Sus scrofa: one gene and its partner. The protein of the gene in region 1 interacts with the protein of each later gene in a pairwise test. Links are inferred from orthologs where the notes say so. Each region holds a gene or a part of one and is shown in the gene's direction. Other genes may lie near its edges.

The links.
Region 2: the proteins of USHBP1 (region 1) and SERTAD3 interact in binary tests that used the Homo sapiens proteins (3 or more experiments, as listed by UniProt). The two-hybrid records come from large-scale screens. The link is inferred for Sus scrofa from reciprocal best matches to the Homo sapiens genes USHBP1 and SERTAD3.

The regions. Positions count from the first base shown.
Region 1 is NC_010444.4:60,407,446-60,417,248, forward strand, and holds the start of USHBP1 (Usher syndrome type-1C protein-binding protein 1), read left to right. Parts: upstream 1-4,183; 5' UTR 4,184-4,549; coding exon 4,550-4,711; intron 4,712-4,798; coding exon 4,799-4,947; intron 4,948-5,177; coding exon 5,178-5,616; intron 5,617-8,825; coding exon 8,826-8,951; intron 8,952-9,295; coding exon 9,296-9,417; intron 9,418-9,581; coding exon 9,582-9,722; intron 9,723-9,803.
Region 2 is NC_010448.4:48,706,991-48,716,616, reverse strand, and holds SERTAD3 (SERTA domain-containing protein 3), read left to right. Parts: upstream 1-3,866; 5' UTR 3,867-4,020; intron 4,021-6,307; 5' UTR 6,308-6,313; coding exon 6,314-6,907; 3' UTR 6,908-7,553; downstream 7,554-9,626. Other genes in the region: BLVRB (flavin reductase (NADPH)), read left to right, coding at 827-984.

The DNA.
Region 1 (9,803 bases):
GGCCTCTGGAGACGAATCCCACAAGCATTCACCACCCAACTTCTCACCGTAGCCTGAACCTCCTTCCAACCCGGCTGTCGACTCGCTAGGAAGCCGCCATCTTTAGCAGCCGGAAGTGGTATGGCGCGGCCGCCACATCTCCTGGGAAATGTAGTTCATCAGGCCTCAAGCCGCGCGGAGATGTGAATGGGATGAAGCCGGAGAGTCTTGGATGCTGATAGGCTGGGACTGTGCTAGGCGGTGGGGTTTGGATTGCGATAAACTGGAGTGGAGCCGAGTGGAGAGGGATCTGGAAAGTGATTGGCTAAAGAGAGATGAGGAGGAACTTTTCATGTTTCTGACTGATTCCCACTGCGCTGGTCAATGCTTCTACCCTGATAGGCTGGAACGAGGCAGAGGGGAGTAGGACTTTTAGTGGGATTGGGTTCGAAAAATGGAGGAGTCCGAGCTGGCAGCGTAATTAAATGGAGTGGAACAGTTGGGCAGAGTTCAGAAGGGGCGGGCTGGTTGGTGATTGATGAAGTTGACCGCACCTCAGTGAGGGATTTTTTTTTTTTTGCCGCGGAGGTAGGCGTGGTCTAGATCCCAAGGCCCCGCCCAATTATTTAATTCTCCTTATTTTACATACATCTGCAGAAATTAAAAAACACTAAGCCAGGAGTTCCCCTCGTGGCACAGTGGTTAACGAATCTGACTAGGAACCATGAGGTTGCAGGTTCGATCCCTGCCCTTGGTCAGTGGGTTAACGATCCGGCGTTGCCGTGAGCTGTGGTGTAGGTTGCAGACGCGGCTCGGATACCGCGTTGCTGTGGCTCTGGCGTAGGCTACAGCTCCGATTCCACCCCTAGCCTGGGAACCTCCATATGCCGCGGGAACGGCTCAAGAAATGGCAAAAAGACCAAAAACAAAAACAAAAAACAAAAAACCAACAACACTAAGCCAGAACTATTTCAAACTACTCTTCCTTCTTCATGCGGAATTTACTCTTCAGCCCCATAACTATTTTATTTTATTTTGCTTTTTAGAGCAGCACCTACAGCATATGGAAGTTCCCAGGCTGCGGGTCTAATGCGAGCTGCAGCTGCCAGCCTAACCACAGCCACAGCAACTTGACATCTGAGCCGCATCTGCAACCTACACCACAGCTCATCGCAATGCCAAATCCTTAACCACTGAGCTAGTCCAGAAATCGAACCCGCACCCTCTTGAATACCACTGGGGTTTGTTACCACTGAGCCACACAGGAACTCCACCATAACCACTTTAAAGCTGAGCCTCAGTTTCTTTATTTGTAAAAGCCTACCCAAATCAGCCAGGCTCTGGTTCAGTGGTAGCCCAGAGGGGCTATCACTGCTTTGAAAATGGAGAATTTGTTGGAAAAAAAAACAAGAAGAGGGAGGTCATTCTCGGCAGAAAGAACTGCCTGGGCAAAGGTCTGGAGACTTTGAGGAGCCTTGGAGGGCTGGAGCCTCTCACAGGTTAATATGGCCAGAGCAGAGGGTTAGAGAGAGAATTTCATTGCCCCTGGGTACACACCCCTAATATCAGAGAATTTCAACTTCTCTCCTTGTGTCTCTGGGGACACAGAAGCAGGAAGACTCAGCCTCCTAGGGTCTGTCGGTGGGAGATTCAAGAACATTCATGCTGCCCTAGGCTCTGCACAGTTTAAACCAAAGGCAGAAGGAAGGAAGGGGTGATTCAGGTAGCGGTTATGGCACGGCCAATGTCTCCAGAGTGTGAGAGAATTGAGTGTGAGAGAATTGACCTCCTTCACAGAGGAGGTCATTGTGGCTGCAGCATGGAGTACATACTGGTGCTAGCAGAAAGCATATTGTTTTTAAAGACCTTGAATGCCAGGCTGAAGAGCTTGAAATGTTTCCCAAGGGCAATGGGGAGCCGTGGAGGGTGTATGAGCAGGGGAAGAGAACAGTGGTATCTCTGTCTCTGGAGTCTGGGTGGGGAAGGGAGTGGAGGGGTAGCCGGGAAGCCCAGGGAGGGAGCTGGCTGGCATCCAGATTGGGGAGGAGAGGCTTGGGCTGTGATTGTGGATGGAGACGAGACAAGGAGGTGGCCTTTAGAGGTACATGCAGGAAAAATGAGCAGGATATAGGGTCCAGCTGGGCTCTGAGGAATCCAACATTTATAGAGGAGAAATAGCAGCTGGCAGAGGAAGCAGAGATGAGATGGATAAAGAGTCAGTAGGAAACAAGGAGGATGTCTAACCATTCATTTCCCTGATGGTGCCTGACCATGTGCAAATTGCTTGTTAAAACTCCCATGAGGCAGTTCCCGTCATGGCTCAGTGTTTAACGAATCTGACTAGGAACCATGAGGTTTCAGGTTTGATCCCTGGCCTTGCTCAGTGGGTTAAGGATCTGGCATTGCCATGAGCTGTGGTGTAGGTCGCAGAAGTGGCTCACATCCTGAGTTGCTGTGGCTCTGGCAAAGGCCGGTGGCTACAGCTCCGATTGGACTCCTAGCCTGGGAACCTCCATATACCGTGGGAGCGGGCCAAGAAATGGCAAAAAGACAAACAAACAAACAAACAAACAAAACTCAAGTGAGGACTTCTCTCTGTAGTGCAACAGGATCAGCAACATCTCTGCAGTGCCAGGAGGCAGGTTTGATCCATGGCTGGCACAATGGATTTGGCGTTGCCACAGCTGCTGTATAGGTCGAAACTGGGGCTCGGATATGATCCCTGGCTCAGGAACTCCATATACTGCAGGGCGGCCAAAAAAGAAAAAAAGAAAGAAAGAAGGGAAAAAGGAAAAAACTCTCATAACACTGGTAAATGTATATATACCAGTACACACACATACACACACCCACACACACAATGGAATACTACTCAGCCATAAAAGAATGAAATAATGTCATTTGCAGCAACATGGATGGACCCAGAGATGATCATACTAAGTGAAATACACACACACACACACACACACACACACACACACACACACACACACAAAGCAAGGTGGTCTCTTGTGGCACAGCAGGTTAAGGATTGGGTATTGTCACTGCAAGCTGCTTGGGTTGCTGCTATAATGCAAGTTCAATCCCTGGCTCAGGAACTTCTATATGCCACAAGCACAGCCAAAAAAAAAAAAGTCAGTCAGACAGAAAAAGACAAATATCATGTGATATCATTTTATGTGGAATCTAAAAAAAAAGATGCAAATGAACTTATTTACAAAACAGAAATAGACTCACAGACATAGAAAGCAAACTTACAGTTACCAAAGGGGAAAGGTAGGGAGAGGAATTAACAGACACACTACTGTATATAAAATAAACAAGAAGGACCTACTGTATAGCATAGGGAACTGTATTCAATATCTTATAATAATGTATAATGGAAAGAACCTCAAAATAACTTTAAAAGAATATATAGTATATATACACATATATAACAATCACTTTGCTGTACACTTGAAACTAATATAACATTTTAAATCAATTAAACTCCAAGAAAAAGTTGTTGATATTGGGAAAAAAAACAAAAACCAAAAACTCCTATGACACTGTAGGAAGATAAGGAAATTGAGACTCAGAGGGGATCATTACTTGCTCAAGGTTACCAATCCCAGGTCTGTGACTGAAGTGGAACAAAAATTTTGACCCTGGAGTTCCCGTCATGGCTCAAGGGTTAACAAATCCAACTAGGAACCATGAGGTTGTGGGTTTGATCCCTGACCTTGCTTGGTGGGTTAAGGATCCGGCATTGCCGTGGGCTGTGGTGTAGGTTGCAGACGAGGCTCAGATCCCTCGTTGCTGTGGCTCTGACATAGGCTGGTGGCTGCAGCTCCGATTTGACCACTAGCCTGGGAACCTCCCTATGCCGAGGGAGCGGCCCAAGAAATTACAGAAAAAAAAAAAAAAAAAAAAAAAAAAAAAGAATTCTGACCCTGACAGGCAGAGAAAAGAAGTTTGCAGGGGAGCAAGATGAAGAGCATCAGCTCAGGGGAACATCCTGGCTTCTGGGAAATTAAATCCAAGAGTCAGAGATGGAGGAGCCATGGGCTTGGTGAGACAAGGAGGGACTGACATCCTGGGAGCTAGACATGTGTCCTCCTGCTGGGGCTCGAGGAAGCCTCTGTCCTTCAGGAGGAAACTGCACAATAACAAGTCACATGGCCCTGGGAGGGGGTTTCCTGTTTTCCGGCCCCTCCCAGGCTGGCCTTGGCCAGCCCAAGTCTGAGCAGGCAGTAGCCAGAGTTACCCCAAGAGTGTCCAAGGACTTGGTCCTCTGACCAAAGTGCCCCCAGAGTAATAGAGAAGTAGAGCAGGCTGAGGGGACCAAACCCCAGGATTGGAACTTCCGGTTCAGGAGAGCCCTGGCAGGGAGAGGGGACCATTGAAGTCCTTGCCATAAGCCCAGATAGGGGAGGGAGGGGAACAAAGACGCAGTGAAGAATAAGAGAGGCAGAGGAGAATGGGGAGGTCAGGGCAACCTTGAGAGGTAGTGAGCTTCCCGTCAAGGGAGGCATTTAAAAGTGCCAAACCATCATTGATAACTCAAGATCCTTCCAGAGAAGTGAAATCGATGTCCATTACACAGAAGAAATTGAGGCTGGCATTCACTTTGAGTTGGGATCAGGTTGTGATTTTAGGGGGTGAGGAAGACTCAGAAGACACTGATTTCTGGATAACAATGAGTGCCAGGGCCACGCGGCCCCGAAGCCGGCGAGGGAGGCATGCTTTGCCCGTAAGTGTCCCCTGTCCCTGCCACACCCATCTCTGTGGGACCTCAGGACCCAGACCTGCCTGGCTCAGTCCTAGGGATCATTTGCAGGGTGAGCTGGACCCTGTGGCAGAGAGTTCAGAGGAGGCCGAGGCAGCCAGTGGGAGCTCTCACCTGGGCCCTGTGCCATCTCAGGATAGCTGTAAGCCGGAGCTGCTGGGCCATGAGGTGGAGGCCAAAGCAAAGAGCCTGGAGAGCAGGTAAGGCCTGTTTGTCCTGTGACCCCTACTCCAGGCTGGGCACATCTTTCCCACCCATAGATCTGTTTATGTCCCTCCCCTACTCACATGCATGTCATGGCTCCCACTGCCCTCAGCCTGACTTTCAAGGCCCTGTGCAATGCAGTCACAGCCTTGTTACAAAGCCTCTGTGTGTTAGCCACCCCAGATGACCCCATTTCTAGAACTTTCCATCTCTCACCTCTTCACAGGCCTGACAAAGAAGTTGATGGGGACTCTCACGGGGGGCCAGCTCTAGCTCCAGAGAGGCCCCATGAGCCTGCAGAGGAAGCCCGTCATGCCCCAGAGGCAGCCCCACGGGAAAGGGAGACCAGCCCTTCTGAACCTGGAGCCCCCGATGTGTTTCAGACTCTACAGCATGCTCTGAGCTCTCTGGAAGCGGCTGCTGCTGCCTGGCGCCACAGGCCCCCAAGCTGTGCTGGGCCAATGGAGGCAAAGGACAGAAGCGAGGGGGGACCGATGCCAGGCTTGGAGCAGGAGGGGGCTGGGAGCTGCCAGCGGGAGGCAGCCCGATTGGCTGAAAGGAACACCTGGCTGCGTTTGGCCCTGGGCAGCCGCGAGGACGAGCTGATCCGCACCCAGTCCTCCCTGAAGGCCTTCCAGGCTGAGAAGGAGAGGCTGCAGAGAGAGGTGAGTGGGGCAGCCTGCCTCCCAGGGTTCCCTGTGTGAGGGAGGAGGCGGTTTGGCACAGGACATGATCAAGTTCAATCATTTGTGTATTTGTAAGGCTTTTATGGAGGCTTGGCTGCTGAACCACAAACAGACAAAGGTTGCTTGCAATCTTAGGTAAAGTGATCAGGGAGGCCCACTGAGGAGGTGACACTTGAATAAAGACCACAAGGAGGGGAGTTCCTGTTGTGGTGCAGTGGAAATGAATCCAACTAGTATCCATGAGGATGCTGGTTCAGTGGGTTGGGGATCCGGGGTTGCTGTGAGCTGTGGTGTAGGTTGCAGACGAGACTCAGATCTTGCAGTGGCTGTGGCTGTGAAGTAGGCTGGCACTGTAGCTCCGATTTGACCTCTAGAAACACACACACACACACACACACACACCACACACACACACACACACACACACAAGGAGGCAAGGTAGGAGCCATGCTAGTGTTGGGAAGAGCATTCCAGGCAAAGGGAACAGCATATGTAAAGGCCCTGAAGTTGAAGTGTGGTTGATGTGTTCAAGGAACAGTGAGGAGATCGGTGTGGGGCTGAGTGGGAGGATACAGGGTATGAAGGTGATGGGGGCAGATTCTTCAGGGCCTGTGGGTCACAGGGAGGATTTGAGCTTTTTTTTTGCTCTGCAGTAGGTGAGAAGCACAGAGGATTATGAAGGAGGGAGGGTTGAGACCTCACGCAGGCGCCCTCTGGCGGCTGTGGGAGGAACCGCTGGTGGAGGGAGAGGGTGGAATCTTGGAGATAAGGGAAGAGACACTGGTCCAGAGGTGTATCAATGGAAGTTGTGCAGGTGCCTAGAAGAGGGCAGGTTCTAGATAATGTTGAAGGTGGAGTTGGCAAGCGTGGGTGTGAAAGCTAGAGAGGGCTTGAGAACGAGTTCTGGGTTGGGGGTTTGGGAGACTGCAGTGGAGGCATGGGGAGTCTACCAGAGGGGCAGTTTTGGTGGGAGGGAAACCCGAGTTGTGGTCTCTGATTAGCTCCAGATGCCATGAGCCACCCACATGGGGCCATTAAAAGAACAGCTCTAGGAGTTCCCATCGTGGCTCAGTGGTTAACAAATCCGACTAGGAACCATGAGGTTGCGGGTTCGATCCCTGGCCTCTCTCAGTGGGTTAAGGACGCGGCTTGGATCTGGCGTTGCTGTGGCGTAGGCTGGTGGCTACAGCTTCGATTTGGTCCTTAGCCTGGGAACCTCCATATGCTGTGGGAGCGGCCCAAGAAATGGCAAAAAGACAAAAAAAAAAAAAAAAAAAAAAAAAGGAACAGTCCTACATCTGAGTTCAGAACTCAGCAGATGTCAGAGTGAGAAGGACCCAGGTGGTGACACTAGGGGTTGCAGGTGCCAGTGCAAGGAGTGGGGCCCATTTCCCTACAGAGTGGGGCCCATTTCCAAGATGGAAAAGAAAAATATATTTTAAAAAATGTTTGCCTACCCCCTACCCCCTGCCTCTGGCAAATATCAATCTGTTCTCTGTATCTGCATGTTCAATTCTTAAACTTTTTTTTCTAGGGCTGCACCCGTGGCATATGGAGGTTCCCAGGCTAGGGGTCTAATCAGAGCTGTAGCTACCGGCCTACACAACAACTTGGGATTTGAACCCCGTCTGTGACCTACATCACAGCTCACGACAACTTAACCCAATGAGAGAGGCCAGGGATTGAACCTGAAACCTCATGGTTCCTCGTCAGATTCATTAATCACTGAGCCATGACAGGAACTCCAATTTTTTAATTTTTTAAAAATTTTAATTTATTATTATTACTATTATTATTGGCCACACCTGCAGCATGCAGAAGTTCCTTTCCCAGGCCAGGGATCAAACCCTTGCCACAGTAATAACCAGAGCCATGCAGTGGCAATGCCAAATCCTTAACTCACTGAGCCATCAGGGAACTCCAATTTTGCTTTATTTTATTTTATTATTTCATTTCATTTATTTTATTTTATTTTATTCCTTTTATTTTTTGGCTGGCCTGCGGCATATGGAGCTCCTGGGCCAGGGATCAAATCTGAGATGCAGTTGAGACCTATGACACACTTGCAGCGATGACAAATCCTTTAACCCACATGAGCTGGGGATCAAATGTATGTCCTCATGCTGCAGGAGATGCCATCAATCCCTTTGCACCATAGCAGAAACTCCTTCTTTAGACTCCACATATAAGTGAGATCATACAGTGTTTATCTTTTTTTTTTTTTTTTTTTTTTTTGCCTTTTTAGGGCTGCACCTGAGGCATATGGAGGTTCCCAGGCTGGAGTCAAATTGAAGGTGTAGCCACTGGCCTACGCCACAGCCATAGCCAAACCAGATCCAAGCCACATCTGCAAACTACACCATAGTTCATGGACACACTGGATCCTTAACTAACCGAGCAAAGCCAGGGATCAAACCTGCATCCTCATGGATACTAGTCAGACTTACTTCTGCTGAGCTACAACAGGAACTCCCTTTCTTTTCTTTTTTGGGTGCTCTATGGCATATGGAGTTCCCAGGCCAGAAATCAGATCCAAGCTGCAGTTGTGACCTAAGCTACAGCTTCAGCAATGCCAGATCCTTAACCCACTGTGCCAGGCTGGTAATTGAACCTGTGTCCCAGTGCTCCCAAGAGGTCGCCATAGTTGTGACACAGTAGAAACTCCTCATTGTGTTTTTTTGTTTGTTCATTTGTTTGTTTGTCTTTTTAGGGCTGTACCCACAGCATATGGAAGCTCGAATTGGAGCTGCAGCTGCAGGCCTACACCACAGCCACAGCAACACGGGATCCAAGCCGTGTATGTGACCTACACCACAGCTCACGGCAATGCTGTATCCTTAATCCCCTGAGTGAGGCCAGGAGTCAAACCCACATCCTCATGGATATTAGTTGGGTTCGTTACCCTTGAACCATGACAGGAACTCCCCACATGGTGGTTTTGATTTGCATTTCCCTGAGACTTAGCGATATTAAGCATCTTTTCACATACCTGTTGGCTATCTGTATATCTAAAAAAAGGGAAGTCTTAAGTGGCTGAGTGAGTTGCCCAAGGTTGTATAGTGAGGGATTTGGTAGGATGAGTATCTGGGGTCCTGCCTTCCAGCCAGGGCTCTTGCCACTGCCCTAGGAACAGATCTTAGGTAAGAATGCTAGAGCCCCCAGGCCTGACACCCCCCTTTCCCATACAGGTCCAGGAGCTGCAGGATTCCCTGCTGAGGCTGGAGCCCTTCTCATCGCCCTCTGGTGACCAAGCAGGTGGCTCTAGAAGTGGTTCCAGCAGCTCTGGGGCTGACAGGGAGACCTGGGACACTCAGGTGAGTGTGGGAAGCTGAAAACCATGATCTTAAGATGCTTAGGGTTTAGGCCATGGGACTCAGTTCCTGGTCATGGATCCAATAGCTTGTGAGGTTGGAAAAGCCCTAAAGCCATGATGCTGGGCTCTTGGTGACAATCTGGGTGAATCCAGCCACCTTCTGGAGTTCCCTGGTGGTGCAGTGGGTTAAGGATCTGGTGTTATCAGTGCTGTGGCACTGGTTGGATCTCTGGCATGGAAACTTCCATATGCTGTTGGCACCTCCAAAAAAAAAAAAGAGAGAGAGATTGATTCACACAGGAGTGTATTTTTTTAAAAAATTCACCTCCTTCTGCCTTCTGGCAGGATCCTTTCTCCCCAGCTCATCCCCTGCTTCGGCGCCTCCAGAGTGATTCCAGCACCCAGATGCTTGAACCGCTTGCCCCTGAGATGCACATCGTGGAAGCCCAGATGGAGCAGCTGCGAGGGTAAGAGCCACAAATGCTGAGCTCGTAAGGGCACTGGTGCCTCCCAGCTGGAAGAGGAGTCTCCAGGAGTCTGGAGCTGGAGGGGGAGGGAGGGTGGAAGTCAATCAGGTCCTAACTGTCCTTCAAGGCATCTCACTTTCCTTCTTTTCCACTTCGGGAGGCAGGAACATTGAAAAGCTCAAATGCTTCAACCGTCTGCTGTCGGCTGTGCTCCAGGAGTACAAGGGCCGGTGTGAGGGCCTCAGCATGCAGCTGGGCCAGCTGGAGGCTGAGGCCACTGCGCTGCATCTAGCCTTGCAGTATAGGTCAGTGCACCCCACCCATGATGTCACTGACTGGGAAGGAAATGGGCATCCTCAAAGGATGGCCCTCGTCCCTAGAGAGAG
Region 2 (9,626 bases), on another chromosome or scaffold:
CTTTTGGCTGCACCTGCAGTATGTAGAAGTTCTCAGGCCAGGGACTGAACCTGAGCCACAGCAGCAACCTGAGCTGCTGCAGTGACAATGCTGGATCCTTAACCCACTTATCAGATGCCCCTGTAGCTGCCAGGTCATGCCTCTGGAAGGGCAGGGGATCCCAGAGCCACTGGGAAGTAAATGACCCTTTGCAACCCTGGGATGTGACTTCCTCTCTCTGAGACTGTTTGCCCACTTGTAAGATAGAATTAATAGGTCCTAGCCCATTCTCTGCTTCATTTCTCTCCATCTAACATATTTCTCACCATCTAACATATTCTACTTTTTACTAGTTGCCTTGTCTATTTTGTCCCTTGCTGCATGCCCAGCACCTGGTACATAATAGGTCATCAATAGGATTTGTTGAAAAGGAGTTCCCGTTGTGGCTCAGTGGTTAATGAACCTGACTAGTATCCATGAGGACGTGGGTTCAATCCCTGGCCTCGCTCAGTGGGTTAAGGGTCTGGTATAGGTTGCAGACATTGCTGTGGCTGTAGTGTAGGCCGGCAGCTACAGCTCCGATTCAACCCCTAGCCTGGGAACCTCCATATGCCGTGGGTATGGCCTTAAAAATAAAAAAAATAAAAAAAAAAAGTATGTGTTGAATGAATGTAGTAAAGGGTACAGATTAGCACCCTGCACGTGGGAAGGGTTTCATGGCTTTTGGCTCGTTCACCATCTTCTACCGTCTGGACTGGGCACACCGTAGACGGTCACTGGTGTGACCCTGCGCAGGGTGACGGGGGAGGACATCTGTTTACCTGGCCCCTCAATCTTTACCTTACAGGAGATCAGCCGCTGACCGGGGCCTACACGGTGACCCTGGATGGACGAGGGCCCTCTAGGGTCATCTCCAAACATGACCTGGGCCACTTCATGCTGCACTGCCTCACCACTGATGAGTACAACGGCCACAACACCTACCCCTCCCACGAGTACGAATAGGGCTCTGACCCCGTCCAGGAAGACAGCATCCTGTGGCTACAGCAAAGGATGGGAACAATAAATCTCAAGCTAAGAGCTTCAGTTTATTCAGGAGGACCCAATTCTATGTCTCTTCCTCTCCCTGGCTCTGTCAGGGTGTCTTCACTGTCCTGTCTGCCTCTGTGTAAGGTTTTCTAGGCAGGAGTTCCCATTATGGCTCAGCGGGTTAAGAACCCGACGAGTATCCATGAGGATGCAGGTTTGGTCCCTGGCCTTGCTCAGTGGGTTAAGGATCCAGCGTTGCTGCAAGCTGCAGTGCAGGTCTTGGATATGGTTTGGATCTGGCATTGCTGGCTGTGGCGTAGGCCAGTAGCTACAGCTCCTTAGCTTAGGAGCCTCCATGTGTTGTGTGTTTGGCCCTAAAAAGACCAAAAAAAAGAGAAAAAAGATTTTCTGGGCATTCATCCATTTGTTTCCTCACCTGGCCCTGTGCTGGGGAACCAGTGAAGACAGTGGGGACCCTGTCTTCATGGATCTCACTGTCCAACGTGGAAGACAGCCCTGCCCCTGACAGTGACAACACAGAGTGAGTGGCCAGGGCTCTGATGGAGGAAGCAGAGAGAGCCGAGGGACCCAGCTTGAGGAAGGTTCTGTGGAAGATGAGCTGTCCCACCTGAAACCTGGTTTAGTGAGAATGAGCCAAGGGAAGGTTCTAAGGCGTGATGGCGTTCCAGGCAGAAGAGGCCACATGAGCACATGGCCCCTTTGAAGAACTAAAGCCCATCCCCTACAGTTAATACTTTGGTCAGAGGGGAGGAGCGATCAACCCCAAGAGGCTGTTCTATGGTGCTAAACCGGCCAGGGTCCTTGTAAAAGTTTGAGCTTTAGTCTAAGTTTTTATGCAAAGAGTGGAGCAAGGGAGAGGTGGGGAGGGGGGATCACACTCAGGTTTGTTTGCTTGTTTAGGGCCGCACCCACGGCATATGGAAGGTCCCAGGCTACGGGCTGAGCCCAAGCTGCAGCTGCCATCCTACACCACAGCCACAGCAAAGCCAGATCCTTCACCCACTGAGCAAGAGGCCAGGGATTGAACCTACATCCTCATGGATACTAGTTGGGTTCATTACTGGTGAGCCGCACGACAGGAACTCCGGGTTTGTGTTTTATGAAGCTTCCCTGGGCTACTGTGTGCGGGTGGATGGGAGGGTGCAGAAGTAGAGACTGGGAACCCAGAGGGTGTCCTGGGACCTTGAGGAAGAGAGGGAGAGTGGGCGGGAGCCTGAGTGGACAGTTGGGAGGGGAGGGAGGCACCAGAAGGAAACCTAGGACTGAATCCTGAAAGTGGGGTTGCAGTAGGGCCACCCTGAGACAGGAAGCCTGAAGGGGCTGATTCGGCACGGGGAGGGGAAGAACTGCCTCTTCCTAATCATGTCCCTTCTTGGAATCTACTCTCCCCCACCTTTGTCCCCCAGAGACACCTTTCCCAGGACTGAGCAAACCACTCCTCGCTTACCTAACCCCCAAAGCTCTCCCCCAACCCCAAATCCATTCCCATCCTATACTCTTCTCCACACAGCTGGACTACATGACTGACAAATTCCAACCGGCGAGGACTGGTCCAAAGAGCCTTAAACCTTCCTTCTCCGGAGCGGCCTGGAGAAAACTCTCTCCTCCCGTGGGCGGGAACGTGTTGTGGGGGTGGGGCAGGGCTGGTTCAGGCTTTCTGGGCACCGGCCGCACTCATTTCCTCCCGCTTTATTTCTTCTGTTACAGTGTCTGCATTTAACAAACTTTCTTTCACTGGGCGCCTGCCTTGTGTCCGGCCCTGTGCTAGGTGATGCTGGGGACCAAGCAGTGAGATAACATTGGTACGTGTCCCCAGGAGGCCCACAATCCAGTGACGGCCAGGGCCAAGGTCGGGGAGACTCAGGCAAAGGAGTCAGGGTCGCGATGAGGGAAGCACAGGACCCTGTGGGAGGCCAGAATGGGTCTGGACCATCCCTGGAGCCTCAGAACTGAGAGGAAAACTTTGAGAAGAGTTCTGACTCAAGAGGCAGCCTGGGAATTGAGGGCGTATTTTCAGGATGGGAAAAAGTTTCAAGATCCAGAGGTCTTTTTAAAAGTATCCTTGATTTTGACTTACAATGTTGTGCCAGAGGTCTTTTTTTTTCCCCCCTCATTTTCGAGAACTTGATACGAACCTGGCATTGTTGTAGGCACTGAAGATAAGGCAGGGAAGAAAACCGAATCTCTGTTCACGGCGGTGGAGCCATTTTAGAAAGAGTGAGTCAGTCGGTGCGGCAGGATTGTAGAGAGCAAGGGAGAGTGCATCAAGCCAGACCTGAAGGGCTTTAAGGCAAAAAAAAAAAAAAAAAAAAAAAGTAGTTTGGACTTTGTCCCCACGACAGTGGGGAGCCAAGAGCGAGTTTCCCGCAGCAGGGGTGCCATCCTGAGGGAGGAAGGGCTAAGATCTCCCAGGCAACACAGGCCGCACCAAACTATTGGCTGGCCTTCGGTGCGTCATCCTCCTCCTCCGCAGGGTCCGCCCTCCAAAGCTAGGGGCGCGGCCTTCGTGAGAGGCGCAGCGGGGTCCTCCCGGTAAGCGGGGTGGGGCCGGGCGTGCCTGTCAATCTTCCTCCGCGACTGGGTCCAGGCTTGGTATAAAGGGGTCGCAGAGAGCAATGAAGACGGTCTTGGAGCGAGGACAGTAGCCGAGTTGAAAGAAACAGTTTTGGTGCAACATCCACCCTAGAGAGGTGGCCCTGCCTCCCGGCAAGTCAGAATCCTTTAAAAGGTCCGCGGAGCGAAGGAGGGGAAGGCGGGTCCGGCGTCTCCAGGCGACAGGCGGTAGCTCCGCCTAGCCAATCCGCGCCCTGCGGTGGGCAGGACTCCAGCCAATCATGGTTCGCGGCTCGGCTCCGGGCGGAGCTGGGTGGGCCTGAGGCCAGACCGAGAGGCCCCGGGGTGGTGAGCGCGGCCCCTACCCAGCACTCGCAAAGGAGGGTCGCAAAGCCGCGGGCGTTCCCGGAGGTAGTTGTTGCGAACCTGGCAGTTGAGGTGAGGTGTGGCTGCCTGGCTTGGGATCCGCCTTGGGTTGAGGGAAGTGGAGGCGCTCCGGAGAGTTGTGGAGGCGGGGTATGGGTGGGAGTAGGGGGCGCAGGTTTGGAGAGACTGAGTTTCGAGATCCTGAAAGGAAGGCGAAGTTTTGGGGACAGGGTCTTCAAGTGGAGGGAGTCTGAAGCTGGGACACGGGGTGTTTGGGAAGCGAGAGAACTAGGGAAGGAACTTTTGGGGGCAGGAAATCTGAAGATTGGGATAATTCAGGTCTCCGGGACGAGTTAAAGTCGGGCACTACTGTTCAGGAAAAAGTTTGAGGCGTTGCGCTGTGATCCCGAGCATTTGGAGAAGCGAAAGAAATAGGGGCAAGGACTCGATCTCCTAGACGCAGTGGTGGAGAGGGGTCCTGGGGAGAGGAGAGTTCCCAGTCAGGTCTTGGAGCCGGAGGGGGAGTCGGAGATGAGGTTGAGAAGCATTTGAAAGACCGGAGAATAGGGGAAAGTTGACGGGGAGGGTCTCAAAATTCAGATACCTAGCGGCCCGAACAGAGCGCATCGGAGAGCATTTGTAAGTCTTTGAGCGATGTGTTGGGGCCTGGGTCTCTGGACCCGAGAGTAGTTTGATGGAAGAATTTGGGACTTTCTACGGTCCGCAGGACCGGTAGAAAGCAGTTTAGAATCGGAGTCGGGTGGGGGAGGGGTGTTTCGGGCGTGGAGCTCAGACCCGCAGCCCTGAAGGCAGCGGAGGGCGGGGCTCGGCGGGCGCCGGGCAGCTGGACGTCCGGGTTCCCTTCCCCCACCCACCACGGGCCGCTTTGCGCATGCCCTAAGGGAAGGCGGGGAAGGTGCGTCCCTGCGGCTTGCTGAGCCCTCCGGGGGTTGTAGTGCGCGTTCAACGTCAGTACGTGTACCTGGAGGCTATTGGCCCACATTTCCCATAAGCCCCAAGGACCAAGTTGGGGCGTGTCTGGGTTCCGAACTCGAACTTCGTCGAGGGGGCGGGGCCTGTAGAGAGCGGGGGCCTGGTTGGATGGGCTGGTCGGGGGCGGGGCTTGGCGTGAGTAATGTTCTGGCGAGTTTTCCTACCGGACTCATGCTGGAGAAACCTGAAGGCAACCACAGAGGGAGTGAGGGAGGTATTTTCACTGTTGTTGCGAGAGCTCCCAGTCAGGAAAAATATTTGTTCTCTGTAAAAGAAGAGTCTCCACAGATAGGTTCCCTATCAGGGTTCCAGGTGGCTAGAATATAGTAGACATTCAAAAAAAAAATTTTTTAAGTGATTGTGGACCTGTATTTTATTTTTTGTTTCATTTTGTTTTCAAATTAAAGAAATATATATATTTTTGTCTTTTCTAGGACCGCACCCGCGGCATGTGGAGGTTCCCAGGCTAGAGGTCTAATCCGAGCTATAGCCGCCGGCCTTCGCCACAGCCACGCCAGATCCAAGCCTTGTCTGCGACCTACACCACAGCTCAAGGCAATGCTGGATCCCTAACCCAATGAGCAAGGCCAGGGATCGAACCTGCAATCTCATGATTCCTAGTCGGATTCGTCGGGAACTCCTCAAATAAAAATATTGAATGAGGAATTCCCGTTGTGACTGGACGGTAAGGAACCCAGCTAGTATCCATGAGACTGGTGTTCAATCCCTGGCTTTGCTCAGTGGGTTAACGATCAGGCGTTTCCGTGAGCTGCGGTGTAGGTCACAGATGTGGCTAGGATCTGGCGTGGCTGTGGTGTAGGCCAGCAGCTGAAGCTCCGATTTTGACCTATAGCCTGGGAACTTCTATATGCCACAGGGTGCCGGCCTAAAAAGAAATTTTTTTTCAATAAATAACTGGCAATGAACTCTTGTTCATTGTGCGTGTAGTATCACTTCCCAAGATCTCACAGCTGAGCAGTGTGAAAGGCAGAAGTCAACCCTAGGAATCTCTACTTGCAGGCCAGGTGTCTGTACTCAGTATCTGTCTTGTGTGTGTCGTGTTTGAAAATAAGAGTATTGTGAAAGAACAGCCTTAAGACTCCAGAACTTGAATTAAGATTCCTTGTAGATGAGGAAATTGAGTCTCAAGGAAGTAAATTCACTACTGGAGGCCACATGGGCCAGTAAGTGGGATTCAAACCCAGCTGTGTCTTGCGTCCAGATCTTGTTTTGTTAATCACATACATATACTCTCTTCCTTAGCCTTGTGAGATTTATTTGGGCCATTAAAAATCAACAGCCATACAGGAGATTCAGGATTTGAACTAACCCTGCTGTGTCTCACTTGCCCCTCTTCTTACCACAGGGCATCATGGTAGGCTTGAAGAGGAAACACTCAGATTTGGAGGAGGAAGAAGAGGATGAGAAGTGGGACTGGAGTCCCACAGGCCTTCGGAGCTACCAGCAAGCCCTGCTCCGCATCTCCCTAGACAAAGTCCAGCGAAGCCTGGGCCCCCGAGCACCCAGCCTTCGAAGGCATGTCCTCATCCACAACACCCTCCAACAACTCCAAGCAGCGCTTTGCCTGACGCCTGCACCTGCCCTGCCCCCCGAGCCCCTCTTCCTGGGCGAGGAGGACTTCTCCCTGTCGACCACCATCGGCTCTATTCTCAGGGAGCTGGAGACCTCCATGGATGAGACTGAGCCCCCTCCCAATCCAGTGGCTCCCCCAGGTCCCCAGAATGAAGTATTGCCCCAGCCCGATCCGGTCTTCTTAGAAGCTCTGAGCTCCCGGTACCTAGGGGACTCCGGCCTGGATGACTTCTTCCTGGACATTGACACATCGGCAGTGGAGAAGGAGCCTGCACTGACCCCACCCGAGCCTCCTCACAACCTCTTCTGTGCCCCAGGTTCCTGGGAGTGGAATGAACTAGATCACATCATGGAAATCATTCTGGGATCCTAAAACTTTGATGGGGAGGGGGCGCTCCTTCCCCATCTCAGCCTTGGTGGGCTGAAATCCCTGGATGCAACTCTGTGTGTGTGTGTTTATATGGAGGCTTTAAGCAGTAACTGTGGCCTCCTTTGCTCCCATTTCAGGGTTCCACAAACTGTCTTGCATGTGTGTGTGTGTCTGGTTATCGCAGCCTTCTGTGAAGGTGGGTCTTCCTGAATTAATTTATCTGTTGCAAATGCCTTAATGAGACTCTGTTTCTGGGAGTCTGATTTCCCACGTCCACATTTCTTCTGCCTTTCCCTCCAGTTCCTACTCCCCTCGTGTCCCCTGGGGCCTCAGGGAAGATAAGCTGGGCCTGTCAAAGGATGACAGGGAGGTGCTGCCTGGTTGCTATGGAAACCCAGCTTCTGCCTCTTGCACCTCTAGGGAATGGGAGGGGCTGGCCTCCTCCCCAGGCTGAACCCCACCTCCTTCATAGGACCCCAGTCCCAGCAGCCTCCTGATTCATGACCAGGCCGGACCACGTGCAATAGGGTGGAAACCAAACTGCTCCATGCCGCATTATTTAATAGAAAGGCAGGTTTTGTGGTGGGTTTTTTTGTTTTGTTTTCTGATTGTAATTTTTTTTTTTTTAATAAAAGTATTTTGGAAGGGGTGGTGTTGCCTAAAGTTTCTAAACTTTAGTGGGTCAGTGGGAGGGACCTGGTAAGTTCCCTAGACTCCTGCATCTCTGCCCTGTCAGAGTTGGAGCAGGGATACGAAATAGATCCTGGAGTTCCCGTTGTGGCTCAGTGGTTAACAAATCTGACTAGGAACCATGAGGTTGCAGGTTTGATCCCTGGCCTGGCTCAGTGGGTTAAGGATCTGGAGTTGCCGTGAGCTGTGGCGTAGGTCGCACACGCGGCTTGGATCTGGTGTTGCTGTGGCTCTGGTGTAGGCGGGTGGCTACTGCTCCAATTCGACCCCTAGCCTGGGAACCTCCATATGCCACTGGGGAGTGGCTCAAGAAAAGGCAAAAAGACAAAAAAAAAAAAAAAAAAAAAAAAAAAGATCCTGTTGCCATGTTTTCCATGGGAGGAGCCTGAGGTGAGAGGCCAGGTCACTTGCTCAGGGTCGCATAGCTAGGAAGGAGCAAGGAACTAGAACTCAAGTTCAGTCTCCCTCCAGAGACTTCTTAACTATTGTATTTGTTGCTTCGTGATAGATTTAGACACCTCAGCCACATTGGTGGACACAGGAGGGCAAAACGGGCCCATGGGTTACATGTCAAAGGCTAGGGCTCTCTGACACTTAAAAGTCAACACTTTCATTGTAGAAAATGTGCTGCTGAGGCCCAGAGGAGAGAGAAATGCCCAGAGACCCCATGTTACTAAAAGCAGATCTTTCTAGAAAACTGTTGGCTAGGAAGCAGAACCTAGGCTAGAGTGGTTCTGATGATTTATTTAGGAGATGTGAGCCAGGCTGCTGAGAGGGAGGGAGCGAGGCCAGGGAAAACACCCTGTGACAGACTGTTGCACTGGCTAGGCGGCCACAAAGACCTTCAAAGACAAGGCAGCAGGTATGTACACAGCATTAGGGACTTTTCTGGAAGGCGTGCGAGGAGGAACCTGAGTGTAGTCCACAAGCAGGGAGAGGAAGGGGATTTTTGCCCTTGCTTTCTGGCTTAAAGGCAGGTCCTCCTCCTGAGCATCGCATCTAAGTCTAAAAACAAGTCACTTACCACGAACAGGTGGGGCGGTCTGGAGAGGGGCAGTCTCCAGCCTGGAGAGAGAGCAGCTGGTCAAGGGCATCTCAAGAAGGCGCGTGAGGTCCCCGTCTCAATGTGGATGCCCACTGGATCATGTCTTCCTCCAACTTGAAACTGGTGACTTCTCACACTCAAAATAAAACCCCGACTTCACCGAGGCAGGCAAAGCCTGACAATCTTGCTCCTGACTTACCCACTTTAATCTCATTCTCCCCTCCCCACTCAGCTCCCTGCAGGGCTTTTGCACTTGCTGTTAGCTGCCCAGAGACACTTCCTGGCTAGTTTCACCAATCCTCTCCTCTCACAGAGATCTTCCCCGCCCTTCCCAGCTCAGCACGTCCGGGCACACCTCCCCACCGCCACCACTTCGCATGGTTGGATTTTCTTTGTAACATCAATCCAGTCTCAAATTATGACCTTTTTATGCTTAGCCTCCTGTTGGAGTCCTCGAAAGGGAGGTGTTATGTTGTACTGCATAAAGAACTATGCTTGGGGAGTTCCCACCGTGGCTCAGCGGTTTATGAACCCAAGTTGTATCCATGAGGACGTAGGTTCGATCCCTGACCTTGCTCAGTGGGTTAAGGATCCAGTGCTGCCATGAGGTGTGGTGTAGGCCGGCAGCTGCAGCTCTGATTGGACCCCTAGCCTGGGAGCCTCCATATGCCATGGGTGGGGCCCTAAAAGGACAAAAAACAACAACAAAAAAAGAACTATGCTTGGTACAGGTGGGCACAATTTTTTTTTTTCCTGTTATTAAGAAGTCCCAACCTTGCAATGGCCAACCCTCCCTTCCACCTGTTTCAACTCATCTCTACCGACACTATTTTCTGATGTTCTTCAAACACACCATGTCCTGCCTCAAGAGTTGGAATAGGAGTTCCCTGGTGGCTCAGTGGGTTACAGATCTGGCAGTTGTCACTGCTGTGGTGCAGGTTCAATTCCTGGCCTGAGAACTTCTGCATACTGCAGGTGTGGCCAAAA